Oryctolagus cuniculus: one gene and its partners. The protein of the gene in region 1 purifies or fractionates together with the protein of each later gene. This does not show direct contact. Links are inferred from orthologs where the notes say so. Each region holds a gene or a part of one and is shown in the gene's direction. Other genes may lie near its edges. The genes, in order: FBL, TGS1, SIRT7, LARP7, NOP58, DCAF13 and NOLC1.

Evidence for each region.
Region 2: the proteins of FBL (region 1) and TGS1 purify together in Homo sapiens (affinity purification with mass spectrometry; 3 studies listed by BioGRID and IntAct, counting the BioPlex papers as one, with this or other methods). This does not show direct contact. The link is inferred for Oryctolagus cuniculus from reciprocal best matches to the Homo sapiens genes FBL and TGS1.
Region 3: the proteins of FBL (region 1) and SIRT7 purify together in Homo sapiens (affinity purification with mass spectrometry; 3 studies listed by BioGRID, with this or other methods). This does not show direct contact. The link is inferred for Oryctolagus cuniculus from reciprocal best matches to the Homo sapiens genes FBL and SIRT7.
Region 4: the proteins of FBL (region 1) and LARP7 purify together in Homo sapiens (affinity purification with mass spectrometry; 3 studies listed by BioGRID and IntAct, counting the BioPlex papers as one, with this or other methods). This does not show direct contact. The link is inferred for Oryctolagus cuniculus from reciprocal best matches to the Homo sapiens genes FBL and LARP7.
Region 5: the proteins of FBL (region 1) and NOP58 purify together in Homo sapiens (affinity purification with mass spectrometry; 7 studies listed by BioGRID and IntAct, counting the BioPlex papers as one, with this or other methods). This does not show direct contact. The link is inferred for Oryctolagus cuniculus from reciprocal best matches to the Homo sapiens genes FBL and NOP58.
Region 6: the proteins of FBL (region 1) and DCAF13 purify together in Homo sapiens (affinity purification with western blotting; 3 studies listed by BioGRID, with this or other methods). This does not show direct contact. The link is inferred for Oryctolagus cuniculus from reciprocal best matches to the Homo sapiens genes FBL and DCAF13.
Region 7: the proteins of FBL (region 1) and NOLC1 fractionate together in Homo sapiens (co-fractionation; 3 studies listed by BioGRID, with this or other methods). This does not show direct contact. The link is inferred for Oryctolagus cuniculus from reciprocal best matches to the Homo sapiens genes FBL and NOLC1.

Annotation. Positions count from the first base shown.
Region 1 is NC_091449.1:14,143,453-14,147,900, forward strand, and holds the start of FBL (rRNA 2'-O-methyltransferase fibrillarin), read left to right. Parts: upstream 1-1,518; 5' UTR 1,519-1,652; coding exon 1,653-1,662; intron 1,663-4,448.
Region 2 is NC_091437.1:81,020,363-81,024,045, forward strand, and holds part of TGS1 (trimethylguanosine synthase), read left to right. Parts: intron 1-2,038; coding exon 2,039-2,211; intron 2,212-2,495; coding exon 2,496-3,321; intron 3,322-3,683. UniProt on the Homo sapiens protein: Catalyzes the 2 serial methylation steps for the conversion of the 7-monomethylguanosine (m(7)G) caps of snRNAs and snoRNAs to a 2,2,7-trimethylguanosine (m(2,2,7)G) cap structure.
Region 3 is NC_091448.1:1,005,747-1,010,159, forward strand, and holds the start of SIRT7 (NAD-dependent protein deacetylase sirtuin-7), read left to right. Parts: upstream 1-1,511; 5' UTR 1,512-1,576; coding exon 1,577-1,669; intron 1,670-1,748; coding exon 1,749-1,886; intron 1,887-1,950; coding exon 1,951-2,055; intron 2,056-2,853; coding exon 2,854-2,924; intron 2,925-3,100; coding exon 3,101-3,173; intron 3,174-3,618; coding exon 3,619-3,717; intron 3,718-3,992; coding exon 3,993-4,229; intron 4,230-4,324; coding exon 4,325-4,405; intron 4,406-4,413. UniProt on the Homo sapiens protein: NAD-dependent protein-lysine deacylase that can act both as a deacetylase or deacylase (desuccinylase, depropionylase, deglutarylase and dedecanoylase), depending on the context. Specifically mediates deacetylation of histone H3 at 'Lys-18' (H3K18Ac).
Region 4 is NC_091439.1:52,312,777-52,317,100, reverse strand, and holds the start of LARP7 (la-related protein 7), read left to right. Parts: upstream 1-1,352; 5' UTR 1,353-1,638; intron 1,639-1,796; exon of another isoform or gene 1,797-2,124; intron 2,125-4,324. UniProt on the Homo sapiens protein: RNA-binding protein that specifically binds distinct small nuclear RNA (snRNAs) and regulates their processing and function.
Region 5 is NC_091434.1:37,686,818-37,690,500, reverse strand, and holds part of NOP58 (nucleolar protein 58), read left to right. Parts: intron 1-188; coding exon 189-315; intron 316-449; exon of another isoform or gene 450-533; intron 534-2,119; coding exon 2,120-2,283; intron 2,284-3,683. UniProt on the Homo sapiens protein: Required for the biogenesis of box C/D snoRNAs such as U3, U8 and U14 snoRNAs. Part of the small subunit (SSU) processome, first precursor of the small eukaryotic ribosomal subunit.
Region 6 is NC_091437.1:128,636,905-128,641,237, forward strand, and holds the start of DCAF13 (DDB1- and CUL4-associated factor 13), read left to right. Parts: upstream 1-1,458; 5' UTR 1,459-1,572; coding exon 1,573-1,642; intron 1,643-4,333. Other genes in the region: SLC25A32 (solute carrier family 25 member 32), read right to left, coding at 884-1,037. UniProt on the Homo sapiens protein: Part of the small subunit (SSU) processome, first precursor of the small eukaryotic ribosomal subunit.
Region 7 is NC_091446.1:27,770,343-27,774,025, reverse strand, and holds part of NOLC1 (nucleolar and coiled-body phosphoprotein 1), read left to right. Parts: coding exon 1-75; intron 76-185; coding exon 186-321; intron 322-593; coding exon 594-722; intron 723-935; coding exon 936-1,046; intron 1,047-1,154; coding exon 1,155-1,802; intron 1,803-1,993; coding exon 1,994-2,094; intron 2,095-2,256; coding exon 2,257-2,349; intron 2,350-2,513; coding exon 2,514-2,672; 3' UTR 2,673-3,683. UniProt on the Homo sapiens protein: Nucleolar protein that acts as a regulator of RNA polymerase I by connecting RNA polymerase I with enzymes responsible for ribosomal processing and modification.

The DNA of each region.
Region 1 (4,448 bases):
CCTGGCTTTGGATTGGCACAGCTCCAGCTATTGCAGACATCTGGGGAGCGAACCAGTAATAGAAGACCTCTCTCTCCCTGCCTCTGCCTCTCTGTAATTCTGCCTTCCAAATAAATAAATAAATCTTAAAAAAAAAAAAACTGTGTGGTTTCATTCATTCACTCACTCATTCATTTGAAAAGCAGCGGCTTAGCATCCACAGGCCTGTTCTGGGCTCCCAGCGAGAGAGCAGTGCATGGAGCAGACCCGGAGCCTGGGCTGCACACCAGGAGGTTCCCGTGGGTGCATTCAGCAACTTCTCCCAGCAGCAACGCTGCTTTGCTCCGTGGGACGCATATTAGTATCACAAAAGTGCACGGCACAGTGTTCTCAATACTTCACGCAGGAGCCCTCCTCACCCCTCCCTGCCCACACGCTGCTGTGGTCCAACCTTGGCTCCTGCCTGGTCGCTTCTCATTCTTCTGTTCCCGCCGTCACCCCCACCGTGGCCTGAGTGACCCATGTCTGATGGAGCCCCTTCTCTGCTTAGGTCCCTGCCATGGCACCGTCTCCCTCGGGGTAAAAGCACAGAGGCCCTACACATACAGTCTGCCCTGCTGCTTCCCTGCCCGGGGCCCCTCCCACCCTCCCCTGGTTCACTCTGCCCCGGCCACACTCACCACTGTGTCTCCAGCACTCCCGAGCCTTCCTTTGTCCCTGAAAAGTGGGAGCCTCACACTTGGAGCTCATTTCTCAGAAGTCCCATATGGACTTCTAGCCACCACCGTGTGTTGCTGACTTGATGTTTTCCCCATTAAAGGATGAGGTCCGGGCCGGCCCTGTAGCAGTAGCAGGTAAAGCCGTCGCTGCATCCCATATGGGCGCCAGTTCGAGTCACTACCCTGCTCCCTGCTAATGCACCTGGCAAAGCAGCGGAGGAGGGCCCAAGTGCTTGGACCCCTGTACCCACGTGGGAGACCTGGCAGAAGCTCCTGGCTTCAGTCTGGCCCATTTGGGGAGTGGACCAGCGGAAGGAAGATCTCTGTCTCTCCCTCTCTTTCTGTATCTCTGCTTTTCAAATCCATAAAATAAATCTTGGAATAAAATAAACAAAAGACGAGCTCCAGGAGGGCGGCAGTTTCTCTGTTTTGTTCGCTGCTGAATTCCCAGCGCCTGGCGCATACAAGAGGCACCCTACATGCTGTTTGTGCCAATACAAATGAGAACCCAGAGTACAGCCCTGGTCTCAGGGGTGGAATTGGGTAAAGAACGGTTTTATGGTTCTTAGAGGGGGCCTCAGGGATGTAGCTAGGAAGACACAAGAGGGGCAGGGGGCACAGCCTGTGCGAAGTAGTCCCGATCGCTGGGATCCTTGCACCGGAGAAGAGGAAGCGAAGACAGGTTGAGCGCGGCCGCGACACCTGGGCGCGCAAAGCCCGGGAAGCGCAGAGCGCGGAGGGGGCGGAGCCCGGGACTCGGGAAATCCCCGCCCACTGCGCGCGCGCAGAGCGCCGGGCGGGGCAGGGAGCCCGGGAGCCCGGGGGCGGGGCTGCGTGACGCGTCATGCGCCGTACGTCGCCGCGCGCCTGCGCTCCTTTCCACGTGCGGCAGCCCCAGACTCGTGCGTTCAGGGACGCCGCAGATTCCCCAGACGGCGCAACTGGTAGCTCGCCATGAAGCCAGGTGCAGGCTGGGGTTGGGGTCGCGGGCTGGGGACTGGGCTCCGGAAGGAATGTGGGTACCAGGCCGGAATCGGAGGGGCAGGGTCCTGGCCTGCAGGCTGGCGTTCCGAGCCCGGGAGCCGATCTCGTGTGGAGAGGAGGGCGGGGGGGGGGGGGCGGTCCTGCTCCCAACCTGGGGTCGATCCTGAGCCCTGGGGGTTTGGGGAATTCTGGCTGGCTTCGGGGGTCGCGGCCGTGAGTCAGAAGCTTTGGTTTGAGGTTAGCGTTCCTGGCCCAGGGTTCGTCTCGCGGAAGCCGTCTTTAGGAAGAGATTTTTGGCTCTTGGGTCTGGGCAGCCCTCGGGGGGCTCGGACCTAGAGCCTGGATCCAGGTCTCTGAGGTCTTGGGTCCCTGGGCGTGGGTTTGGGTCGGACACCGAGAGTGCCTGGTCTTGGGGCTGGCAGCAGGGTCGGGAGGCCCCCGTTGCCGCCCCTTGGCTGCCGCCACCACCATCGTTAGCAGCCCCTGGCCCTGTTGAAGCCGCTCCCTGCGCTTCCGGGGGGCTGCCCCCGGCGATGGAGTGGGTTTCTAGAAGCCCGCCCTTGGCAGGGGTGTGGGGCTGCTCAGCCCCGATGGCGGGAGGATGTGACTCCTGGTTTTGACAGGAGCAGGGCCTCGGTTCAGTGTTCGAATCCTGGCCCCGCTTCTTCGTTCGCCGTGTATGTGACCTTGAACAAGTGATTTTACCGGTTTTTGCATCAATAATATGGCACCTGGTTACTATTACGGGAGATCATTTTTTTTTTTTTAACTTGACAGTTATAGACAGTGAGAGAGAGAGAGAAAGATCTTCCTTCTGTTGGTTCTCCCCCCAAATAGCCACCAGGACCGGCACTGCGCCGATCCGAAGCCAGGAGCCAGGAGCTTCCTCCTGGTCTCCCATGGGGTGCAGGGCCCAAGCACTTGGGCCATCCTCCACTGCACTCCCGGGGCACAGCAGGACTGGAAGAGGAGCAACCGGGACTAGAACCGGGCGCCCATATGGGGTGCCAGCGCTGCAGGCAGAGGATTAACCAAGTGAGCCATGGCACTGGCCCCAAGGGAGATGATGTTTTAAAAACAATTAGCCCAATACTGGCCATATAGATAACAGGTTCAGGTTGCTTCTCAAGGGAAACAAAATGAGGGTCCTTCTGCCCAACCCCCACAATCGTTCTGTTTGAGAACTTGCTGCACAGAGTTTGGGAAGTTTTCCACTGTGGCCGAAAGGGTCTGAGTTTCCCTGTGTGTGTGGAGATGGGGGTCGTGGGGGGGTTGGGGGAAGCTTGTGGATCCATGCCCTCCTCCTGAGCCTCGTTCCCTTGGGTGTCTCCTGATGAAGTGGGGTGGATGCTACGCTGTAGATCTCTCCTCCTGGGAACCTGGCATGCCTGCAGGCCTCGAGCCACCTGAGATTCCCCCAGGGACAGAGGGAGCAGCCTCTCCCTCCCAGCTTTGCCGCATGCTGTGATAGGATGGGAAGCCTCTGGGAGATTCTGAGCAGGATGCCGTGCGGTCTGATAGACAGCTTTCTTTCTTTTATTAAGATTTATTTATTTATTTGAAAGGCAGAATTGCAGGGGCGGGGAGAGGTCTTCCATCTGTTGGTTCACTCCCCAGTTGACTGCAGCAGTTGGAGCTGTGCCAATCCGGAACCAGGAGCTTTTTCTCTGGTCTCCCATGTGGGTGCAGGGGCCCAAGCACTTGGGCCATCTTCTGCTGCCTTCCCAGGCCATAGCAGAGAGCTGGTTTGGAAGTGGAGCAGCTGGGACTTGCGCCGGCGCCCATATGGGATGCCTACACGGCAGGTGTTGGCTTTACCTACTGCACCCTGATTGACATCTTGAAGAGGGGCCCTCTGTGTAAACTGGGCCTTAGGGGAGCAGAGTGGCTGCAGGCACGTCGGTGGCAGGCGTGTCGCTGAAACCTGGTGACGCAGTTCGGACCAAGATGGCAGCAGTGGACCTGCTGACAAATGGATGACCTGGGGATGTGTTTTGGAAATAGCACCAGTCGACTGTGTGGATGTGAGAGAGGAATTGGAAGGATGGAGCTGGCCCTGTGGGTGAGGAAGACGGCGGTGGGGGCAGTTTTGGAAGCAGGGAGTCTGTGGGCTGTGCGCCCGAAGCTTCCCTGGGAGTCAGAGTCGGTGGCTTCTGGTGCACGAGCCGCAAGGCCGGCGATGGATTAGCGACGAGTTGAGTTTTCAGGCACAGTTCACGCTCACGACCCTGTACCCAGTGCTCATGCCGGGCCTTCCCAGGGTCTCTGCTCTGTCAGGCCTCGGTTGTAGCTTTCCTCCTGAGCAGGAGGGAGTGGGGACTAATTACCCCAAGGCCAGGCCCTCAGTACGGCGCCTCCCAGCCTGGGCCCCATATCAGCATCTGTAAAAGTGCCCATGCTGGGGCAGGCATTCATGGCACAGCAGTTAAGATGCGTCCGTATCAGAGTGCCCGATTCGAGTCCCTGCTGCTCTGTTCTGATCCAGCTTTCTGCTAATGCCCACCCTGGGGGGCAACAGATGATGGCTCAAGTACTTGAGCCCTGCCACCCCCACGGAGACCTGGATTAAGTTCTAGGTTCTTGAGGCCAGGGTTGTGGCACAGCAGGGTGAGCCCCAGCATCCCTTGTGGGAGCCGGTTCCAGTTCCAGCTGTTTCACTTCCCATCCAGCTCCCCGCTAATGCACCTGGGAAAGCAGCGAGGACGGCCCAAGTGCACCCTGTACCCAGGTGGGAGACCTGGATGGATCTCCTGGCTGCTGGCTTTA
Region 2 (3,683 bases), on another chromosome or scaffold:
TATCAGTTAACTTTCCCAAATAGCAAGTAGATTTTGGTCTGTCCAACTTCCCTGCCTGACTTTGCCCTTCCACCTGGACCTTTATGTTTTGAGACTCATAGAAAACTACAATGTGGAGTCAGAAGCCAAAGTGAGCCCCCAAAAACCATGCATTCTTGTTACCTTTGAAAATCTCTTAGCTCTACGGTGCTGGAACACATCACTGTGTGTTCAGTGAAGCACTGGGTGAAATGTTTGCTTTGTGTTATTTAGTGCTGCAGAAATAAGGTTTCCATAAACACTAGGCTGCCACTGACTGTAAGAAAACAGGCATGCCAGGAGAGGAACATAAAACTGAGCCATTCCCTTCCCCCATTCTGCTCTTCTCTGAGCTTTTGTAAGTTCATTGAATGGAATAGTGAGTAAAATCCCCTTCTTAATCTGTTTCCCTCTCCTAGGAGCCTATTTGTAGAATTTACACATGGGAGATTTCTTTTTTATTTGTCTCTATATTGCCATTTAAGATTGACTGTGTTATTGTCGGAGATCATCAAGCTTTTTTGTTATTTGTTAACTTGCTGATGTAAAACATGATAAACGACAAATAGTTGTGAAATCATAGTCTTTACCCTTTATATAATGTGATCCTAAATTCTCTCAGAGCAGATCTGTTACTTTCCTGTAACTCCTGTGTGGACTTGATATAACTCAGATGTCCCATGTAGCAGCTCAACACTAACTCATTATATTGTGACAAAAAAATTATTATATTAATAGAGCACTTAAGTGGCATTGGTCTAATTAATGCTATTACTACTACTAGATAACCATATTCAGGCAAAGTGGAATTTGGTTGTGATAAATGGTTTTTTCCAAGATCTGAAATCAGGAAGCTTGAAAGAACCTTCCAGTTTGGTGGATTTCTTTCTTTCCTTGTTTTTTTTTTTTAAGTCAGTTACAGAGAGAGAGAATCTTCCATCCACTGCTTCACTCTCCAAATGGGCACAATGGCCAGGACGGGACCAGGTTGAAACCAGGAGCCCAAAGAGTTGACCATCTTTCCAAGCGTGTTAGCAGGGAGCTGGATAGGAATTAGAACAGCCAGGACTTGAACCAGCGCCCACATGGGATGCGGACACTGCTTAGGCCACAACACTAGCCCCGTTTGGTGAATTTCAAATGTTTAAGAGCAGAACACTTTGGTTAAATCAGCTCTTCCATCGAATCCTAGGACCTCAGTCCTCATTGTATCAAAGTGGCTCTGAGGGGCCTGAAGACAAACCTCTCTTACCTCATGCTAAAGCTCCTACAATCACTCCACAGATCAGAATTTTTTTTTTTTATGGATCTTATTTATTTGAGAAGTAGAGTTACAGGCAGAGAGGGAGAAACAGAAAGGGCTTCCATCCACTGATTGGCTCTCTCCAAATGTCCGCAGTGGCTGGAACTGGGCCAATCCAAAGCCAGTAGCCAAGAGCTTCTTCTGGGTCTCCCACTTAGGTGCAGGGGCCCAGGCACATGGGCCATCTTCCACTGCTTTCCCAGGCCATAGGAGAGAGCTGGATCGGAAGTGAAGCAGCCAGGACTCAATCTGGCACCTATACGGGATACTGGCACCACAGGTGGAAGGTTAGCCCACTATGCCACAGCACTGGCCCCAGATCAGGATTTTAAATCCACGAGCTCATGTAGCAATTTTTCAGGTAAGGAATGGGAACACAGAAGTGTTTTTCCCAAAGTTACACTGTCCTATCCCCTCTCATTTCTATCCTCAGTATTTGTGTGGTGCATGGCACAGAACAGATACTCAGTAAGGGAGCCACAGTTGAGCAGATTAATGGACAGTGGCAGGCAGAGCTGGAAGAGAAGTTGTCTGAATTCTTCTTTGGCTGTTCATGTGATTAATCTATATGACCATCAGTTCTTTTTTTTTTTTCCACTTAAGAATTATAACACTACAAATGGTGTAATCATTCTGGTTATCAAATTCTTTAAAATAAGGATAAGAAAACTCACCTCAAAATTTTCTCTAAAACTAAGTTCACAATGCTACCTTTAGGAGACCAGGCTACAGAAGACGAGGAAGAGGGTCATTCCCTCTGCACTGCTGAATTACATGACACCAAACGCATGGGACTGGATGAAAGCGAACTTGATTCTGAGGCCGAACTCATGAGAAGTATGGGATTGCCGCTTCAGTTTGGTGGCGTTTCTGCACATAAGAATTTTGAGGTAAATATTAATATACTTTTATTATTTCTGTTTCTTGGTTTTCCTCATAAAATTTCACAAGTACATATTTGTAGATTCACCAAAATTGCAAATTGTAACAGTTCCATGTGTGATTCTTCCTCCTCTTGGGAACTTAAATGTAAGAATCACTTGCTTGTGTACCTAAAAGCCCAACATAGGGTTTTAGAGTATCTTATTTAATTCAATGTCAAAATAATGTTGGATTCTACTTTTATACTTAATGAAGTACATTTTATATTCAAGTTATTGTTTATCTGTTGTAGATATCTATGAATACTAGAAATAAAGTTAAAATAAAAAAGAAAAAGAGAAAACATGAAAAGAAGTACTTAGATGAAATGATACGAGAATCTTTGAGAAAGGAATATGAAGAAGATGACATTTTGGCCTCAGATGATCCATCTTCAGTTGAACACTGTGAAAATACCAGAACATGTAAATTTCAAGGCAAAAAGGATGTTGAAACCAAAAGTCTTCCTGTTGAAAATACTTTATCTGCAAAGCTAGAAATTACAGAGAAATGGGAGCAGTATTGGAATGAATATGGAGGAGAACTATTATGGCAATGTTGGCAAGAAAAACATCCAGATCAAACACTGCCTTCTGAGCCTTGGAACTTTCCTGAAACGAAAGAAGAATGGGAACAACATTATAGTCAAATTTATTGGTATTATTTGGAACAGTTTCAGTATTGGGAAGCTCAGGGTTGGACTTTTGATACCTCACAAAACAGCAATATAGACACTTGTGCAATGAAAACAGAAGTTGATAACCAAAAAGATGAAAATTGCATGAAAGTTGGCTTAATATCTTTTCCATCATCACCTAATACAGCTCATAATGAAAGCTCTAGTTCCAATGATAAGGATCATAATGAAATACTTGCTGGAATTAGTAATATAACTCTGAATTCAGAGGAAATAGGCCAGAGCCAGTTAGACTCCTCAGTAAGTTGTGATGGTCATCAGGAGCTAAGTGAGGACAGCAGCAGGAGAGAGTGCCCTACTTCTGGCCAAAGGGAACCAAGTAATGGAGAAACCAAGGAGAACAACTTATCTGGGAATACAAACACAGACCAACCAGCCCAGGGTAAGATTAGACAAAAAAAATGTTCTACTAAGTGAGAGTTAGCAAAATAAACCTATTTAGCAAAACAACTACTGCTAATCCTGTATGGTGGAGTTGAATGATAGCAACTCTTTTCATAGTATAATACTTAAATTATTTTCCATCTTATTTTTAGATCATAGTTGTATATTACCCTTTTGTATTAATAAGAGTATTTGGGTCTCAAAAGTATCATTCTTTCTTGTTACTCCTTGGTAGCCAGTGCAGGAAACCTTAACAAACTCTGGAGGAATCTTAAGTTAGAAGGAGCTTAGAACTTCCACAGCAAACGAGGTGGTAGAAAGCATGTTAGAGAATGATTTGGCACGTATATTTGACATTAC
Region 3 (4,413 bases), on another chromosome or scaffold:
GCAGGGCCTGGCCCCTGGTGTCCCCGGGAGGGGGGGTGAGTGAGGAAGAGGAGCAGGGCAGGGTGAGCTCGCGGGGCCTTGATCCGGCCCCCAGGGCTTCTGGGGTTGGCGAGGCCATGCGCTGGGGTTCCCGTCCCCTCACTCGAGCCCCTCTCCCCTCACCCTGATTTCTCCGCAGTAGATTCTGTGTCCACGCGTGGCTCTGTGTGTCCTTCGGGTCGTGCTGGGTCTGTCTCCCACCGTGAGGGTGTTGTGTTCTCTCTTCTCACCCCCCCCCCCCCGACACGGCGGATGGAGGGCTGCGGCTGAGGCCGGGCCTCCCGAACCTGTCCGCCAAGTGAACCCAAACCTGCGCCTCCCCTCCTGCCTGACGCCGCCCCGGCCCCTCCTGATCCCGGACGGACACGCAGACGTCCCCACGCAGCGTGGCCCGGGCTCCCTGCTGGCTTCAGTGGGTCTGTGCGCGCACCCCTGGCCTCCGTGGTCGGCGTCGGGGGCCACCGCTCTGGGCTGGTGGTCAGGCCCTGTGCCTGCCGCCGCCTCTCTCGAGCGGCGGCTTGGCCAGAGCTCCCGTCCACAGCGGGGCAGCCCGGGCAGCCCGCTGCACACTTCCGCTCTGGGATCCTGTGAGTTATTTTTTAGGCTGTGGTTTGGTGAAAGGAACCAACACATTAACGATTTTCCCCCCCCAGAAGCCACTGAGTGACTCCTCCTGGCACGGGTTCGGCTTCCTGCTGGCTGTCTGGTCTTGGGGCAGGTGGGAGAGCAGAGGCTGTGTCGTCGGTGCCACGCAGGCAGGCGTGTGTGTGTGGGGCTCGGGGCCCCTCCTGCCTCTGGGCTGTGCGCGTGGCACCTGCTGGGCCGGCTGCAGGCTTCCCGCTGCACGCCCGCCGCGAAGCTCTGGCTCTGAGAGCCGGGGTGGCCCTGCGCGTCTGAGCTGGAATGGCAGAGCGCGGCCCCTCCCCTCAGCCCCAGCCCCTGCCCGCCCCTCCTCCCTCCCGTTCAGTTCGCGAGTCCCTGAAGCCTTTAACCAAACGCAGTCGCTGCGGACAGCCTTCTCCCGGTGACCCGACCCCGGGCAGCAGGACAAGGGCTGCCTGCGCGTGCGGGCTGTGCGGGGGCTGTGCGGTTGGTGGTGGCCCCCTGCTTAGGGCCGAAGCCTGCAGAGGTGACCGTGGGGTGCCCTGGGGTCCGCAGGGCGGGTGGGGGGCTGATGCAGAGCTAGGGAAGGGAGGTGCCCAGGCGACCCGCAGTGGGTGTGGGGCGTGCGTGGGAGGGACCTGTCCCCGGGGCCCCGCGCCGTATTTATTGCTAAGTTATTGTCCAGGAGGGGCGGCCCTGGGCCTGGCCGCCGGTATTTATTGCTGTACATAGTGTATGTTTGTGATATATAAGGTTTTCTTTATTTTGTATATGATCAATAAACACCTTTTAAAAAGAGATTGGCAGGTGCTTCCTTGGGGGCGGGGCGGCGGGCGGGGCAGGAAGGGCGGGGCGGGGCGCGCGCGCATGCGCCCCGGGCGGCCGCCGGCGAGGCGGAAGCGGAAGCCGGAAGCGCCGGTCTCCGCGGGGAGCGATGGCAGCCGGGGGTCTGGGCCGCTCGGAGCGCAAGGCGGCGGAGCGGGTGCGGAGGCTGCGGGAGGAGCAGCAGCGGGAGCGCCTCCGCCAGGTAGCCCGCCCGCCCGCGCCGCGCCCCGCGTCCGTGTCCGTGGCGCGCGGGCCGCCTCTCACCGCCCGCCCGCCCGCAGGTGTCCCGCATCCTGCGGAAGGCGGCGGCCGAGCGCAGCGCCGAGGAGAGCCGGCTGCTGGCCGAGAGCGAGGACCTGGTGACCGAGCTGCAGGGCCGGCGCCGGCGGCGGGAGGGGCTGAAGCGGCGGCAGCAGGAGGCAAGTGCGGGGCCGCGCGGCGGGGCCGGGCGGCAGGCGCGGGCTGAGCGGTCGGTGTCCGCAGGTGTGTGATGACCCGGACGAGCTGCGGAGGAAGGTGCGGGAGCTGGCCGCCGCCGTGCGCAACTCCAAGCACTTGGTCGTCTACACGGGCGCGGGGATCAGCACGGTAGGGAGGCGCGCGCGGCCCAGAGCCACACTCGCCCGGGCCGCGCTGGCCCGGAGCGCCGCGGGGCGGGCGTGGGGCGCCCCCTCCTGGGACACTGACCGCGCTGGACGGCGCGACTCGGCCTCCGCGCTGCCGGGTGTGCGGGCAGAGCTGAGCCGCGCCGCGCCGGTTCCGCAGCGGGAGGCGAAGGGCGTGGGGCCGCCGACGGCGGGGCTGGGGCAGGGGGAGCTTTGCTGGACGGGGGCGGCCCGCAGGGGGAGGGGGAGGCACTGCGGGTACCAACGGGCCAGGGCCCAGGGTACTGAGCGCTTCCTGCTGAGCCTCCCGTCTCCACCGCGAGTGGGACAGCCCAGCCCGGCGGTTCTCGAGCCGCGGCCCCGTGGCCTGGCTGGCGCTGTGACCTCAGTGTCGGGCCCCTGGCGCCGGCGGGCACTTCTCGGAGCTCGGGCTGCCTGGGGAGGTGGGGCTCGTGCAGGGGGGGCCTGGCAGTCTTCTGTGTCCTTTGCTGGAAGGGGCGACGTGGGGGGGTGCACAGGTCGTCCGTCATTGTTCAGGTGGGGAAGGGGCCGTTCAGAGCCCTGTGCAGTCCTCCCTCCGTGCCCGAGACACACGGGTCCTTGCGCCGTGCTGTGGCGGCTCTCGGGGCGCGGGGGCCTGGGAGGATAGTGAGGAGGGAAGCCGCACCGGGGTGCAGCTGCCCGGGCCCCGGCCGGTGGGCAGCCTGGCGCCCCCCTGCAGGGTTTCTGCCTCCCGGCAGTGCCGCCGGCCCACTGGGCTTATCTTTTTCCGAGCGCACAGGCAGCCTGCATCCCAGACTACCGGGGCCCCAACGGCGTGTGGACGCTGCTCCAGAAGGGACGGCGCGTCAGGTAGGGGCTCGGCTCGCCGGCCTGCAGGTCCTCACCCCACTTTCCCAGGCGAGCCCCGGCCTGCAGGTCCTCACCCCACTTTCCCAGGCGAGCCCCGGCCTGCAGGTCCTCACCCCACTTTCCCAGGCGAGCCCCCGGCCTGCAGGTCCTCACCCCACTCTCCCTTCCGCCGGCAGCGCTGCCGACCTGAGTGAGGCCGAGCCCACCCTTACTCACATGAGCATCGCCCGACTGCACAAGCAGAAGCTGGTAAGAGCCGGACGGGGCTGGCAGGCCCGGGCGCAGGGGAGCGGCTGCACCCTCTCTGTGGGAGGAGTACACGGCGGCCCCCCAGACAGAACAGCAGCCCCTCCTGGGAGCCGTCCCGTCCAGGGCATCTTGGCCCAGGGTTGCTCACCGCCCCCCCCCCCTCGCTTCACCCCAGGGCCCCCGAGGGCCTCCCGGGCACGGGGAGCCAGCGAGGAGGGGAGGGTCGCCCTCTGCCCAGGCCCTGGAGCCGAGCGTGGATCTGGCGTGGCCACGTCTGCCCCGTGGGAGCCCGAGCTGCAGCCTCACCGGAAGGGCGCAGACGCACGCTCGCCCTCCGGGTGCTCCAGGCCCGGCACTCTGCGGGCTGGGCCTGCCGAGAGCTTGGCTCTCCGAGGTTTCCTGTGGGGTCGGGGCTGTCGCTGGGCTCAGAGGGGCTCCCCTGCAGGTGCAGCACGTGGTGTCGCAGAACTGCGACGGGCTCCACCTGCGGAGCGGGCTGCCGCGCTCGGCCATCTCGGAGCTGCACGGGAACATGTACATCGAGGTGAGCGGGCGCGCGCGCGGGCGGGCGGGCAGACGGGCGGGCGCGCGGGCGGGCGGGCGGGCGCGCGGGCGGGCAGGCAGACGGGCAGACGGGCGGGCGGGCAGGCGGACGGGCGGGCGGGCAGACGGGCGGGCGGGCAGGCGGGCAGGCAGACAGGCAGGCGCGTGGGCGGGCAGACGGGCGGGCGGGCGGGCAGGCAGGCAGACGGGCGGGCCGACGGGCAGACGGGCGGGCGGGCCGGCGCCCCCGCTCACCGGAGCCTGTCGTCCCCCCAGGTCTGCACCTCCTGCGTCCCCAACAGGGAGTACGTGCGCGTGTTTGACGTGACGGAGCGCACCGCCCTCCACCGACACCAGACCGGCCGGGCCTGCCACAAGTGCGGCACCCAGCTCCGCGACACCATCGTGCACTTCGGGGAGCGGGGGACCCTGGGGCAGCCCCTGAACTGGGAGGCAGCCACTGAGGCCGCCAGCAAAGCGGACGCCATCCTGTGTTTGGGGTCCAGCCTGAAGGTAGGCGCCGAGGACCCGGGAGCCCGGGCTGGGGCCACGCCCCTGCTGCGGCCGCGGGCGCGCGCACGTGCCCTGTCTGTCGTCCGTGTGTGCAGGTTCTGAAGAAGTACCCGCGGCTCTGGTGCATGGCCAAGCCCCCTAGCCGGCGGCCCAAGCTCTACATCGTGAACTTGCAGGTAACCGG
Region 4 (4,324 bases), on another chromosome or scaffold:
GGTTGGAATCCTGGTTCCTCTTCCAATCCAGCTTCCTACAGGTGTACATCCTAGCAGGGAGTTCAAGTAATTGGGTCTTTTGCAACCCATGCAGGAGACAAAGATGGAGTTCCTGGCTTCCAGCTTTGGTTTGGTCCAGTCCTGGCCAACATCAGAGGGTGGAAGATCGGTTTGTGTGTTTGTCTTATCTTCTAAATAAAAAGATATTAATTTTTTTTCTTAGTGCTAATCTGTCTACATTTGTCAGACAATTCAAGTGGTGACCCACTTCCTAATCCGTGAAAGATAAATCAGCAAATAACTTTTTAAAATGATGTGGAGATTCCAAATGTTCAGTGATAATTATATATGCACATACACACAGATATATTATGGTGCTGTTATATTACATATGCAAAACTGGGTGTTCTCAGTTTTTAAAAATGAGCCATTTTCCAGGGCTGTGGTACAGAAAGTTAAAGCCCTGGTCTGCAGGACTGGCATCCCATATGAGTGACGGCTAGAGTTCCCGCTGCTCCACTTCCGATCCAGCTCTCTGCTATGGTCTGGGAAAGCAGTAGAAAATGCCCAACTCCTTGAGGCCCTGCACTCTATGGGAGACCCAGAGGAAGCTCCTGGCTCCCAGCTTAGGATCAGCTCAGCTCTGGCTACTGTGGCCATTTGGGGAGTGAACCAAGCGGATGAAAGACTATCTCTGGCTCTAGATCTTTTTGTAGCTCTTTCACATACATACAATAAATCGTTTTTTTTTAATGAGCCATTTTTCCTGTAAATTACAAGATGTTTCTGGTTCCCATGTTTTTGAACAAGCAGTATGTTTCAAACCTAAACTCCTTAACGGTTCAAACTTAAAAGTTTCAGAATACGAGCTCAACATCCTATTAGGAAACCAACCAGAACAAACAACCAAAGGAAATCCACACGTCATTTGCCAAGATCCTAATAAATCTGAGCCGTTGTTTTGAAGGACAATAGAGATAGACTTTAGGGTCATGAAAACAAACAGCAATACCCCTCTGGTCCTCACGGGCAGGCGGAATTGCAAAACAAAAGACTTGAAGAGGAGACACCAATTACCACGGGCGGTCCGGGCAAGCTGCGCCTGCTACCGCCCCCATCTCGGCCCCAAACAGCATTCTTCCCGGTCCGCTTCTGCGGAACGGACTCTTTCGGCCCCTAATCCTAAATCGCTCAAGTCCCCTTCACTGTCCACCCTTCATTTCCCAGATACCCCGAAAGCCACTTCACCTCGTCCCACTGCACAAAATCCACTTTTCGAATTTCTCCCGCGAAAATTTAGTGACGTCATCAAACCGGGACCACACCGGATGAAGACCCAAACTGAGGCCGCTCACCCCGCCTCACCTAGAACCGCCATTTTTAACCCGCCAATCAAAATCTTCATTGGCTTCCAGCCGCCTCGGCAGGTCGCGCTCTCCGATGTCCCGCCCTCCTGGAGCCAGCCCTCGCGTGTGACGTAGGCGGCGGACGTACGGCCTCCGGGCCCGTCTTTCTGAAGAGGATGAGAGTGTGGTGTCGCTTATCCTATGACGCGCAATAACCACGACTTTAAGCATCAGGAGACGGAAGGGGCTGAAGGACGCCGTCGCTGACGCTGTATTTTTAGAATTGAATCGAGTAAGTTGCAAGTGGCCCCGAAGTCGCGTTCATTGAGTAGTGTTAATCCTCAGTCTCTTTTCTAGCAGCTCATTCTATCATGTGTCGGCTATCTCGTCCCGCCCCCTCCCACGCTACCTTGGGTTCGCTAGGCCTAGTTCTCTGTGCGCACGCGCAGAAGTCCTCTGCTAGCTCTTGCAGTTCCAGTGTGCGGAGAGTGGGGGCGCATAGCGCCCGGCGTTGCGAGGTTTGGGGCACGCCCAGCGCTTGCCGGCGTCTGTAAGGAAGTACGGGTGCCGAGAAGATCAGTAGGTGCTAGGGAAAGTGCTTTATTTTGCCAATTGGAGTTGAAGTTTGTCTGCCAAAGGATAGCGAATGTGAGAACTTGTGTTCTAAGTCATTTTCTTTTACACGACTCTAGTTTTCTCCTCGAAGAGTTGAAAATCTAGTTGTGAGAAGGACCTAGCAATGAGTGCTAAGTACTGCATACCAAAAGCATTCCTAGAGGTACTTGGGGAAAACAAATCGAGCAATTGAGGAGGAGGTAGCGGTGGAAGTTAAGATGCCACCTACCCTGAGCCTTGAAAACCGAATAGGGGTTTATTAGACACAGGAGTTCTTTTGAAAAAGTGATAAAAGTTACGCATCAGCTTCCCAAGAGAATGTGCATATACTTATCAAAATATTTTCTGTTTAATTTTACTAGGAAATGTGTGAAAGACTTCGAAATGGCAAAAAAAATAATTACTTGGGGTCTTGTTTAACTCCTCCGAGATATCAATGCCTTTTATTGTCATTGAGCTCTTTTACAGTTGTGTAACTTGTAGAAAATGATAAATGGAAATCAGGTTTGTCTAGTGGAGATGTAGTTATTACCTCGCAGTTTAATGAAGTTCGGAAAAATGTTTATTTACTTGAAAGGCAATGGGACAGAGAGTGAGAGAAAGAGATGTTTTCCATCCTCTGGTTCACTCCCCAAATGCCAAGGCTGGACTGGACCAGGCCAAACACAGGAACCGGGAACTCCATCCCGGTCTCCCCCATGGGTAGCAGGAAGCTGGAGGTGGGACTCCGTCCCAGGCCTCCAGGATTAGGAATGTCTAAGTCCCACTTGGTGACTTAACTCACTGCCCCACAATGTAACTGCCAAGTTCACAAGAAGCCTTGCGTGAGGGGCAGGACTTTGTCCAAGCTGATCAGATGCTGCTTGAACAGCATCTTAACTCCTGTCAGATCTCTTGGGTTTGAGTCCCAGCTCTTCCCCTTCCTATCTAGCTTCCCGATTAGCACATCCTGGCACCCTGGAAGGCAGCAGATGGTAATTCAAATAATTGGGTCTCTGTCACCACATGGGAGGCCCCAATTGAATTCCTAGCTCCTGACTTCAGCCTTGCCTAGCCCCAACTGTTGCAAGCATTTGGAGAGTGGACCAGCAGATGGAAGAGATCTCGCTCTCTCTGGCCTTTGAAAGAGAAAGAAGTAAAGGAAATTGTAATCACCTAGATCTAAAAAGAAAGAATTCCTGGGTCAGAACATAGCATGCTAGTAACAAATTACAAGTGGCTCTACTGAAAGTAGGAATTAAGAGTCAAACAGACTTGGGCTCACTTACCCAGCTGGTTTTAGCCAAGTCACTTAACCTTTGAGTTTCTGTGAAAATAAACTACCTAGTGGGTTTCTGAGGCTTTAGAACAATGTAGAGTAACTGGCATTGTTACACAGTAACTTATTCTTTGTTTAAAGCCTATATTTAGAAGCCAGATTGGTTGGTTTTCTTTTTTTTCTTTTAATGCATGTCATTGAAAAGTGCCAAAGAATTTCTGATGTTGGGGTTTGACATCAATCTCAGAAAAACGAATCCATTCCAGACAAGTTACACATAGGCTTCTGTGTATGGCTGCTAGGATACTTTATCAAATGTTATCTTGTTACTAGTGACAGTAGTGGAAAATAATGAATGGATAGATGGAAGGAGGAAGGAAGGAACAAAGGAAATGAGAAGTCAAATTGATAGGATTTAGAGTGCTAAATCATGATAATGATTACATGTTATTGAGTATGTTCTGTAAAGCAGCAATTTGAAGTGCTTCATTTCCATTATTGTGATTAATCCTCACAACAGCCATATTATGTGGTTATAATTTTTATCCATGTTTTATAGGCCATAGATGAGGTAACTTGCTCAAAATCTGTGCAGCTAGCACATAGCATCATTTGTTAGCTTGATAGAATAGGTATCCTTAAGTAAGAGCATGGTGGTAAAGCAGGCCTGGGGAGGAGAGTTGGAGACTTGGAATGTGTGGAATCACAATATATAACTCTGATTTTCTGCAGTCATTGTTTGGGAAAAGTAAATTTAACCATTTCTTATATCACTTTCTGTTTAGTCTTTGTCTTTTAATTGAAGATATATTTCATCAGTCTGAGCTTAAATACTGTAAGACACAAAAATAATCCTTTTAATAAGAAAGAAGGAGTCTTTGGGCTGAGCTGTGAAAATGGAGGGGAAAGTTTTCTGGGAGAATTGTGACTTATGTGCATGTGCAGCTCTGTCCACTGCTTCTTAAGTGGTGGCTCAGACAAGGAAACTAGTTGGAAAACAGGTTGTCTGCTCCTTACGATTCATTGTTGACACTGGAGCCTGCTACAGTGATAATCATAGACTACACTTGTACCTTTTTAAAAAAAAAAAAAAAGATTTATTTCA
Region 5 (3,683 bases), on another chromosome or scaffold:
GTGTCCTAAGTGATTTACATACATTAGCTAACAAAATCCACAAAACAACCATTTTATGGAATACTGACGTCAGGAGTAAATTTGAATGTCTGGTCTTTGATAAATCAGGACTCCAGTATTGACAGCATGTGAATTTGGCACTGTTTCTTCCTAAAAGGTATTTGTGACTTATTTATTCCGTATATTAGGTGATTGAAATCTCTGAATATAGAACCCAGCTCTATGAATATCTACAGAATCGCATGATGGCCATTGCACCTAATGTTACAGTCATGGTCGGGGAATTAGTTGGAGCACGGCTTATTGCTCATGCAGGTGACAGTTTTCATGTTATTTATAAACCTAAGTGTTTGTTTTCTCGCCAAGGTTTTATGTCTTTGAAGTAGTTATTAAACATTTTATGTGATAAAAGCAGATAAGTGGCATGTGGGTATGGGCTAAGGGGCCAAGTGTTCAATGATGACATTTATTTGTTTGCCTGATTTCCTTTTGGATAATGAAGGCATCTTTAGTCACTACCTCTTCTGAGACACTTGTGGTCCATTGTCAGAAGTTTGTTATAGTTAATTGGAATAATCAGATAAATGCAGTAGGATATAATGAGTTAAATTTTCTATCACTAGTGCTGTTGTTATACCCTATTCTATAAAATCTTAAGTATCATCTAGATGGAAGTGTTTAAAACTAGAGTAACTGCTTTAGCTGTATCATTTTATCAGACAAATATCCCATTGATCTATCCTAGGATATAAGGTTAGAATCATTTGCTTTGGGGTTCTGGCATTGTGGCATAGATGCTGTCATCCCCTATTGGCACTGGTTCCTGTCCTGACTGCTCCACTTCCCATCCCGGTCTCTGCTAATGGCCTGGAAACTGGGAAGCAGCAAAAGATGGTTCAAGTACTTGGGTCACTACCACCCATGTGGGAGACCTGGAAGTAGCTCCTGGCTTGAGCTTGGCACAGCCCAGGCTGTTGCAGCCTTTTGGGGAGTGTACCAGTGGATGGAAGATCTCTCTCTCTAACTCTGCCTTTCAAATAATTAAGTAACTCTTTTAAACAGAAAAATAATTTGATTTGGTTTCTTTATCTTTAGCCACATTTCATAGCTGTAGCTAAGTTTTAGCAGTGTGAGATGCAGAGTTTTAACAGAAGTGTGTTTGCACTTTAATCTTGTCTAGTGCTTGAATTTGTAGCCTTAATGTTGAATGTGTTTTCCTTTTAAAAAAAAAAGATTTATTTATTTATTTAATTGAAAGGCAGAATTACAGAGAGAGCGAGCTTCTATCCACTGGTTCACTCCTGAAATGGCCACATTGACCGTAGCTGGGCTAGGCCTAAGCCAGGAACGAGCTTCTGGCAGGTCTCCCATATGGGTACATGGGGCCCAAGCACTTGGGCCATCTTCTTCTGCTTTCCCAGGAGCATTAGCAGGGAGCTGGATCAGAAGTGGAGCAGCTGGGACTCAAACTGGTGCTCATACGGGCTCCTGGTGTCCCAGACCGCGGATTCCCGCTGCCCCGCAGCGCCAGACCTGGAATGTGTTTTCTGACAGAATATATTCCATGCAACAAACCCAACAAAGCCATCTCTTGCTGATGAGTATAGTTGTAGACACAGTTCTTCTGAATCTATATCTGAAATAAGCATAAGTAAAGTATGGGTGATTGATCAGGTACTGCTGAAGTATCTAATATATCTGGTTATTTGTATTCATATTCATATCTGAAATAATATTTATTTATTTAAAGTCCCAAATCTCAGAAAATCAGGATTAGATTGGTTTATGTGTGGATAAATATGTGTGTGTGTGTTTCTATATTTATATCACCCTTGTGTTGTGTTCATGGAATGTAGAATAGTAGTAATACCACCCTTTAGGAAAATAAATAATATCATTATCACAGGCATGTATCACAAAAAGCCTTAGCTTATGTTAATGAGAGTCACAAATGAGAGAACTTTCAGTGAATTCTGTATTACAGAATCCTGAATTGTTTGTATTTTATTATTAGTATGATAGCTGTGTAAATAGAGCGGAAAGCTAATGCTTAGCATGTGGAACTTCTGAATGCTTGCAAGTACACTCTTTCTACCTACATACTTTTTTTCTTTTGTAGGTTCTCTTTTGAATTTAGCCAAGCATGCAGCTTCAACAGTTCAGATTCTTGGAGCAGAAAAGGCACTCTTCAGAGCCCTCAAGTCAAGACGGGACACCCCGAAGTACGGTCTCATTTATCATGCTTCTCTTGTGGGTCAGACAAGTCCTAAACACAAAGGGAAGGTGAGCTACAATTTTTCTGAAGTTGGACTTCTTTTTCCCAGACAATAAGCTTTTTCCCTGTCTTTACTGCATGTAAACTTTTTGTTGTCTTTTAGTAAATAGGGAATGATGTGTTCTTTAATAAACACTTTTTTGTGGGTGTGCATTGACATAAAAGATTAGCAGAAATTGTTGTTGGTCCTATTCAAATCATTTTAGGATCCTCTTTGTGAGTGCCCAACCAAATGTATTCTGTGTGGCAAGAAAACTGATCTGACTGCATTTATGAACTATGAAAAATATTTATACATACATTGGGTGAGACACTTTGCTAGACATTCACTGAATCTTTTAATAACCCACATGTTGTTATAACCCACATGTGTGTCTGCACTTTACAGATGATGAAACTGAGGCTTGGACATGTCCTTTAATCTTCTGTAAGATGAGCAATTCTGTTCAATCAAGCTAAAGTTTTATAAAATAAAGAGTTCAGTAAAATAAAATTAACCATGAGCTGGCAATGCCAGCATTCTCTATCAGAGTGCTATTTCCATCCTGGCTGCTTCACTTTTGATCCAGCTCCCTGCTAATGGGTCTGAGAAACCAGTGGTTGATGGTTCCAGGTGCTTGGGTCTATCTGTGTATCTGTGTCTTTCCTTTCAAATAAAGTGAGAATTAATAAATAAATTAATAAATTAATTAAAAAATAGTTCTTCAGAGAACTATTTGAAGACTGTTGTGGGGGAAAGGATAATCTTTTTTTTTTTTTTTTTTTTGACAGGCAGAGTGGACAGTGAAAGAGAGAGAGACAGAGAGAAAGGTCTTCCTTTTGCCATTGGATCACCCTCCAATGGCCGCCGCGGCCGGCGCACCGCGCTGATCCGATGCCAGGAGCCAGGTGCTTCTCCTGGTCTCCCATGGGGTGCAGGGCCCAAGCACCTGGGCCATCCTCCACTGCACTCCCTGGCCACAGCAGTGGGCTGGCCTGGAAGAGGGGCAACCGGGACAGAATCCGGCGCCGCTAGGCAGAGGATTAGCCTAGTGAGCCGCGGCGCCGGCCCAATTTTTTTTCTTTTTTAAGATTTACTTCTTTATTTGAAAGAGCTACACCGAGGAGGAGAGGTAGAAAGAGAGCTGGATCAGAAGTGGAGCAGCCGGGTCTCTACCCAGCGCACATGAGATGTCAGCACCGCAGGCAGCAGCCCTACCCACTATACCACAGCACCGACTCCTGGACTTGTTTTTGAATGGCCTTAAGGAGTATCACTGGTGTCTGGAGTAGAAACTAAAGGAAAACACTGGAATAATAGTTTGAGCTGCTTTCAGATATGAACTGCTGCTATAAGAGCTCATTCACTGAACCATTGACAATGCAGAATAACTAGTTAGCTATCACTTGCAAGATGCGAGTAGACCCA
Region 6 (4,333 bases), on another chromosome or scaffold:
AGCTCAAGACTTTGTATTCCCTCAGGCCAAGAATTCTATCAGGTACATCTGAAGGTACATTCTTCAGGTACATCTTAAGCCCATACAACAATCTATAAAAGTCAAGAGAAATCTCTACCAAGTGAACTGAATAGAGTTCTCTACTTCTGCAGATGTAATTCTACTTAACTTGTAGTGATAACTCAAAATGCCAGAAAAGCTTCCAAATAAAAGGCATCAAAGATTATCTTTGAGACTATCTTTTCCAGAATTTACTATCGAGTTTAACTTCTAAAATGCTTTATCAATTTCAAAATACTTAAGATGCTTTAAAAAAAAATCGGTAGCACGTAGACTAGCTACCGATTCGTCACTAGACCTGTATACACACCAAAACAAAACAAAATGAAACAAAAGAAATCTCAATAGAATTGTATTCCAAACCTATTCCCAACCACCCGCTGAGAACTGTGCCCGACCCCAAGCGCTAGCATTTTCCTTTCCGTAGCTCTGCCAAACACGTGGCTACACTACGGTTTCAAAGTACCTCCAGGGTGAACGATTTGTTCCTCTAGGGCTAAGTCCTAAAATGCCACAATCCCTTCTTTCATTTACAAATCAGGACTTGACTCCCAACTTCCACAACAGACTTTCTCAGACTCTTCTACCCACACGCCCCATCCCCTGGTCTTCCTGGGCGAGGGGGACGGAGGCCGGATTTCCTCACCGGACCCCCTCCTCAATCTAGCTCCAGGTGAGCCCGACAGTCGGGCATCTTCAACGACCCCCTGCTCGTAGTTCGGTTAGAGGCAGGGGAACCCAAAGCCTCCTTCTGAGCCTTCCCCCGCCCCCAGTTCGGGCTGACTGGGAGAAGGAGCGGTCCTGAGTCTGGGCCGGCTCTTACCGGCGAAGCGGATCTTCACGAGGTCGAGCGGGTGTAGCGCGAGGTTAGACAAGACCCCGCCGCTCACGCCCGCTACCAGGTTCTCGTACCGGACGTGGTGGAACACCGTGCTCCACGCCGACGACTGGGACGCCGACTGGCCCTGGCCCGTCATAGGCTCGGGGCCCGCCGACACCACGGCGCCCAGGGCCGCGGAGGTGGGACGAGATGCAGTGGCCGCCACCGTGGCGACAGTGGCCGCGCGGGGGTAGGAACCGCGGGCGCGAGCCCACTTCCGGGACCGGCGAGATAATTCTGACACCCCGATCGCGGGAGCGAAGCCGGGAGACCGTAGCGCAGAGGGGGCGGTGCAGGGGCGCAGCCGCGCTCACGCCGCGGAGAACCCGAGGGAGGCGGGCTGCCAGCCTCCTCCGCCTCCCCGGCCAGCCTCGCCCACTGCTGCCGCGGGCTTCGGCAGAAGGGCAAGGGCAGGAGCGCCCGGCTGTGGAAACGCCCCCTGCCAGCCTTTGCCGGCAAAACTACGGAGTGCCGCAGGATCCAGCCGAGCCGGCCGGCCGGCTTCCGCTCCCCGGAGGTACGTAACAGGAAGTAGTATCAGGAAGGCGGAAGTCGCATGTGCAGGAGGAGGCGGCGGTGGTACGCGCCGCGGCTCGCAAACTCGTGTGGGTCGCTGAGGAAGAGCCGCCGAGATGAAGGTGAAGATGCTGAGCCGGAACCCGGACAACTATGTCCGTGAAACCAAGTTGGACTTACAGAGAGGTGGGACGCCCTTCGCGAATCCTGGGGTCTGGCCTCGGTGTCCACAGAGTGGAAGTCAGGGGGAACCCAGCGTCCCAGTCTTGTTCTTTCCCAGTTTCCTTTGCCAAGGCAAGCTTTGGCAGCTAGGGCCATTACGGAACCGAGTAGCGGGTACTGTCGTTTCAAATTCTTTCCCAAGAATTTCTTCGGCTTTGGAGTGGGAAATACTGGTCATTTTCTGTATGGGGAATACTTCCGTCTCCCCCATGTCCTGCTGTTGCATTCTGTCCTCAGGTTCCTGTATTCGAAGTGGAATTTGGGCCAAACTCGTGGGTTAAAGGATTTAAGAATTAAACGGGCTTCTTTAAATCTTCCTGTTGCTCTCACTCCTGGCCACTTTACCACTTCACTTTACATCCTTATGGATGTGGAAGAGGGAACGACGAGATTCAAAGCTGTCAGTTTTCTCTTATCAACAGTTCTTACCGAAAGTTTGAGGGGAAGATGAATGAGATATATTAATGAGATATATTTATCCTTACTGCTCTGCTCTTCCAAAATCAATCTGACCACTTAGGAATGGTAGCTTATGATGCCTAAATGGCTAGGAGCTAAGCTTGTGTGAGCAGACCATTCCCAGTGAAGAGACTAGCAGGTGCAAAGGTCTTTAAGTCAAGAATGAACTCAATGCATAGCAAGAAGGGCCATGTCATTGGCGTGTAAATGAGGGGTTGGTGGTAGATGAAGCTGGAATGGCATTTCTTTTTATTTTTTTTAATAGGTTTATTTAGTTATTCGAAAGGCAGAGTTACAGAGAGGCAGAGAGAGAGGTCTTCCATCCGCTGGTTCACTCCCCAATTGGCTGCAATGGCCAGAGTTGTGCTGATCCGAAGCCAGGAGCCAGGAGCTTCTTCCAGGTCTCCCACACAGGTGCAAGGGCCCAAGCACTTGGGCCATCTTCTACTGCTTTTCCAAGCCATAGCAGAGAGCTGGATGGGAAGTGGAGCAGCCAGGACTCGAACTGGCGCCCAAAAGGGATACCGGCACTGCAGGTGGTGGCCTTACCTGTTGTGCCGCAGCACCGGCCCTTGGAATTAGCATTTCACTATTTTAATTGAGTAATAGAGATTATCAGTGTGTATGTGAGGATTGTAAGGGGTAAATATGATTTCTGCTCACAAGATGTTTACAGGGTAGGTTTACGTAATAGGAATGTTTCTCAAATGCAAATTTGTCACTTAAACTTGACATCATCCCTCCTCCTGGCACCTCTCTGGTCCCTTCTTCATGTCTACTTTCACCAGCCACTACTTTCTCCACAGGTAACTTAGATTCACTCTGGCCAGAGAGAGTGCATTTAGGCATTCTCTTTTACACTTCCTGTGGCATGTACCCTTACCCAACTTGTCTACTTCCTCAGGAAAACGCCTCTGAACGGCCCTCTTTTACCTCTATGCATATTCCCTCCGCCACTTAACAGCCCCTTCTTTGCTTCCATCATTTTTTTTTTTTTTTTTTTTTTTTACAGGCAGAGTGGACAGTGCAGTGAGAGAGAGAGACAGAGAGAAAGGTCTTCCTTTGCCGTTGGTTCACCCTCTAATGGCCACCGTGCTGCGGCTGGCGCACCGCGCTGATCCGATGGCAGGAGCCAGGTACTTATCCTGGTCTCCCATGGGGTGCAGGGCCCAAGCACTTGGGCCATCCTCCACTGCACTCCCTGGCCACAGCAGAGAGCTGGCCTGGAAGAAGGGCAACTGGGACAGAATCTGGCGCCCTGACCGGGAATAGAACCCCATGTGCCGGCGCCGCAAGGCGGAGGATTAGCCTAGTGAGCAGCGGCGCCGGCCCCCATCATATGTTTTTAACGCTTCTGTCAGAGTGTTTACCACGTTGTCTTATGATCTTTATTTTGATTAACACAGGCTTTCCCATCAGAATAAGCTTACAAGTGGGGAAGAATCCTTTTCATGTATGCACTATGTTTATTTAGTCAGCAGCTGGCACATATGGTTGCTTTATAAGTGTTTGAATGAATGGGTGACTGCTTATCATGAAATTTCAGTGTTTGGAAGTTGTTAGACTTCTAGTCTTTTTTTTTTTTTGACAGGCAGAGTTAGACAGTGAGAGAGAGAGACAGAGAGAAAGGTCTTCCTTCCATTGGTTCATCCCCCAAATGGTCGCTATGGCTGGCACGCTGCCTGGATTGAAAGCCAGGAGCCAGGTGCTTATCCTGATCTCCCATGCGGGTGCAGGGCCCAAGCACTTGGGCCATCCTCCACTGTACTCCTGGGCCATAGCAGAGAGCTGGCCTGGAAGGGGGGCAACTGGGACAGAATCCAGCGCCCCAACCAGGACTAGAACCCGGTGTGCCGGCGCCGCAGGCGGAGGATTAGCCTAGTGAGCCGCCATGCCAGCCAGGCTTCTAGTCTTGATTTCTGTAACATATCCCTGTTTTACTTTCTGGTGGAAATGTTGATAGCAAAATGGAAGAATAAAGTTTTGGGGTTCTGTAAAAGGAGACATTTTATTATCTATTCATTTGTTTTTGTTTTGTTTAAGTGTTATTTCCTTGTAGATGTTGTGTGATACCAGATACTGGAATAGAGACCAAGGAATCTATATTTTTAAAACTGCCTTGGTAATCCTGAGGTGGCTGGTTAACTGTTGTTGACACCTGACATAAATGTTGGGTTTACATAGGTTTGGATGAGA
Region 7 (3,683 bases), on another chromosome or scaffold:
GCTGACAGCAGCAGCAGTAGCAGCAGCAGCAGTGACGACTCCGAGGAGGAGCAGGCTGTGGCCGTTCCCAAGAAGGTATGGGCTAGAACTTGTATCAGGGAATGTAGGGTCTGTGTGTCTTTCCATTCCCTGGCAGGGTTCATCAGTATTTTTTTGAAGTCATGGATTTTCTCTCTCGGACACAGGCTGTACCTAAAAAGCAAATTGTGGCCAAGGCTCCAGTCAAAGCAGCTGCTCCCCCTACCCAGAAGAGTTCCAGCAGTGAGGATTCCTCCAGTGAGGAGGAAGAGGAGCAGAAAAAACCCGTGAAGAAAAAACCAGGTTAGTGAACATGGGGAGTGAAACTCCCGATTGTCCTGGACCCAGTTACAATAACTGCACGGACTTCTCCATGGAGCTGCTTGAGTTGAGTGTCTTTGTAACATGATCCCCGAGCTGAGGGTCCTAGCAAGAAAGACTGGGAAGTGGCAAGACATGACCTGCACCTTGTACTTTGTACTTGAGATGAGTCAGGCCCTGCATCCAGAAGAGGGCAGTGTGTCAAATGAGTTGGGTACATGTTTTTAAATCACCATGTCGTCCCTTTCAAACAGGTCCTTACAGCTCAGTACCCCCACCATCTGCTCCTGCACCGAAGAAGTCCCCAGGAACCCAGCCTCCCAAGAAAGCTGTAGAGAAGAAACAGCCTGAGGAGAGTAGTGAAGACAGCAGTGATGAGTCTGGTGAGTCAGGAGTGCTGCTAGGAGTGTGTGTGCACGCACACATGTGGCAGGGAGGACCATGAGGGATAGGGAGGGGGAAGATCCACTGTCCCTCTACTGTTTTTTGCTAAACTGAGGCAGGGCTAAGGCTTTCTGTGTGTCTGTGTTCTTTTTGTTGCTCTCCTGGTTGGAGTGGTATTCTGGACCCAACATAATGCCCCAGGTTCTCCCTAGATTCAAGTTCCGAGGAGGAGAAGAAAGCTCCAGTTAAGGCAGTTGTCTCTAAAACAACCCCTAAGCCAGCACCAGCAAAGAAGGCAGCGGAGAGCTCCTCAGACAGCTCAGGTATGGCTAGGGAGGCACTCAGGGCAGCGGGGTGATCTGTGGGCAGCTGCTACAGGGTTCCTCCAATTGATTCGGGAGCTGATTCTTCTGTCCTTCGTGTTTGTCTAGACTCCGACAGCTCTGAGGATGAAGCTCCTGCCAAGCCAGCTGGTGCCACCAAGAATTCCTCGAGTAAGCCAGTTGCCACTCCCAAGCAGCCTGCAGCTAAGCCAGCTGCCGCTCTCAAGCAGCCTGCAGGTGGTGGCCAGAAGCCTCTGACCAGAAAGGCTGATAGCAGCTCCAGTGAGGAGGAGAGCAGCTCTAGTGAGGAGGAGGAAAAGGCAAAGAAGACTGCAGCCACCCCTAAGTCCAAGGTGACTGCCAAAGCAGTTCCACCTGTGCCTGCCAAACAGCCTCCTCAGGCTGATGGGGAGGGCAGTTCTGATTCCGACAGCTCCAGCAGTGAAGAGGAGGAGGAGGAGAAGACATCCAAAGCCCCAGTTAAGAAGAAGCCACAGAAGGCAGCAGGGGGCGTAGCACCTTCCAAGCCTGCTTCCGTAAAGCAAGTGAAGGCCGAGAGCAGCAGCAGTTCTTCCTCGGATGATTCCAGTGAGGAGGAAGAAGAGAAGCACAAGGGCAAGGGCACTCCGAAACCACAAGTTCCCAAGGCCAATGGTACCTCTGCCCTGACTGCTGCCCAGAATGGGAAAGCAGGCAAGGACAGTGAAGAGGAAGAGGAAGAAAAGGCAGCAGTGGCAGTGGCAGTTTCTAAGCCAGGTCTGTGTCTGAAGACCCTGCCCTCTGGGTTTTGTCCTTCAAAACCAGGATGAGGATAACTGGGAGGATACTGTAGGGAGAGGAGGCCCCCTCCACCCCACTGCGGCTTCTATTTGCAGATCCTCTGTGGGATGGAAGAAGGAACTGGAAACTGGTCTCCTGATTGTGGGGTTTTCTGTTTGTATGTTCAGGAAAGAAGCGGAAGCAGAATGAGGCTGCCAGTGAGGCAGGGACTCCTCAAGCCAAGAAGATTAAGGTGCAGACCCCCAACACATTTCCTAAAAGGAAGAAGGTGAGTTATCTCATTTTCTTCTCAGAAAGTCAGCCCTTTAAAAGTAGAAAGAAATTGAGATCATCTTGAAAGCTTGGCCTGGCCTGGCACCACGTGGTGTGTTATTCCAGAGGGCTTTAGATGGCCACCCCATCTTTAATTTCCAACTTGATTCTTCATTAGGGAGAAAAAAGGGCATCATCCCCATTCCGAAGAGTCCGGGAGGAAGAAATTGAAGTGGATTCCCGAGTGGCAGACAACTCCTTCGATGCCAAGGTGAGGGATGTTTGCTGTTCTTGGGGGTTGAGGAGTAGAAGAACGGGCAACTTTCAATTCAGGTTGGTGGGAGACACTAAGTTTCCATGAAAGAGTAGAAAGAAGAGCACGGTGGGGCACTGGTGCTGTCCTTCTGTGTGTTAAGTATTTCTCTGCTTCACCAGCGTGGTGCAGCTGGGGACTGGGGGGAACGAGCCAATCAAGTTCTAAAGTTCACCAAAGGCAAATCCTTCCGGCACGAGAAGACGAAGAAGAAGCGCGGTAGCTACCGAGGAGGCTCCATCTCGGTCCAGGTGAACTCTGTTAAGTTTGACAGCGAGTGACCTTGGTGATGCAGGGGTGATGATCAGAGACCTCCCACTTTCAGTGGACCTGGGGACCCTCAGCTCAATTAGGGGAGGGTCTTGGTGAGGACAGAAGTTCGGACTGCAACATAACATCTTCTGTGGTCTTTTTCTGTGTTCTAGTTTTGTACAGATTTTTTTGAGTGTTGGGTAGCAGGGAAGAGGTAAGGGGAACATTATTTTTTAAAAGTCTGTTTTAGTTGTCACCCCCATTCTTCCTGTTTTGTGAAAGTCCTCACACTGAGAAATTTGTATATTTTATATTAAATCATTTCCTAATGACTATTGTTGTGATTTTCAGAGGTGGGTTCCTACAGATAAAATCTTAGCTATTACCCAAGATACAGTAGATTGTCACGTGTGAATTTTTATAGTTGGGGAAGAGTTCTGCCTATGAGTATGCTCACATTTCATCCGTCCTTCCCTCAAAGCCCCATTGTAGGCACTGAAGAATGATTAACATGTGTACATGCCTGTTAAGCATGCACTATGTAGTTCATCCTCATTTGTTGGGTCGGGGCCTGAAATTCTCAGCCAGCATGGACCTACCTACATCTTAGGATACAATTTACTGTTTTTGTTAATAGGCAAAATTCTATTCTGGTATGAATGACATAAGTTAATCTGAGTTTTATTTTATGAGTGTGGTTTTATATTATATAATGTTGGCAACACAGTACATGTTTTGGTTTTAAATTTGAAAGCAAATCTTTCTACTTTGAATTTTCGGTGACTTGACCCCTACCAGTTCTGAGAACAAAGTTGAGAACTGCCATCTTTTCTTTTTTACATTATTGAGAACAAAATAATCTTAAACGTACATATCGTTTATTGATATTTATATTTCTGTTGGGTAGCTATGTGACACACAATATTGGTTTCATTAATTCCTACATGACTGGAAATCACTAATCAAGTAAATGAAAAAAAGAACTATAATCAAAAACCCCAATCCACTGTAGGAAGTAGGTTACTTTAGGTGAATTTATA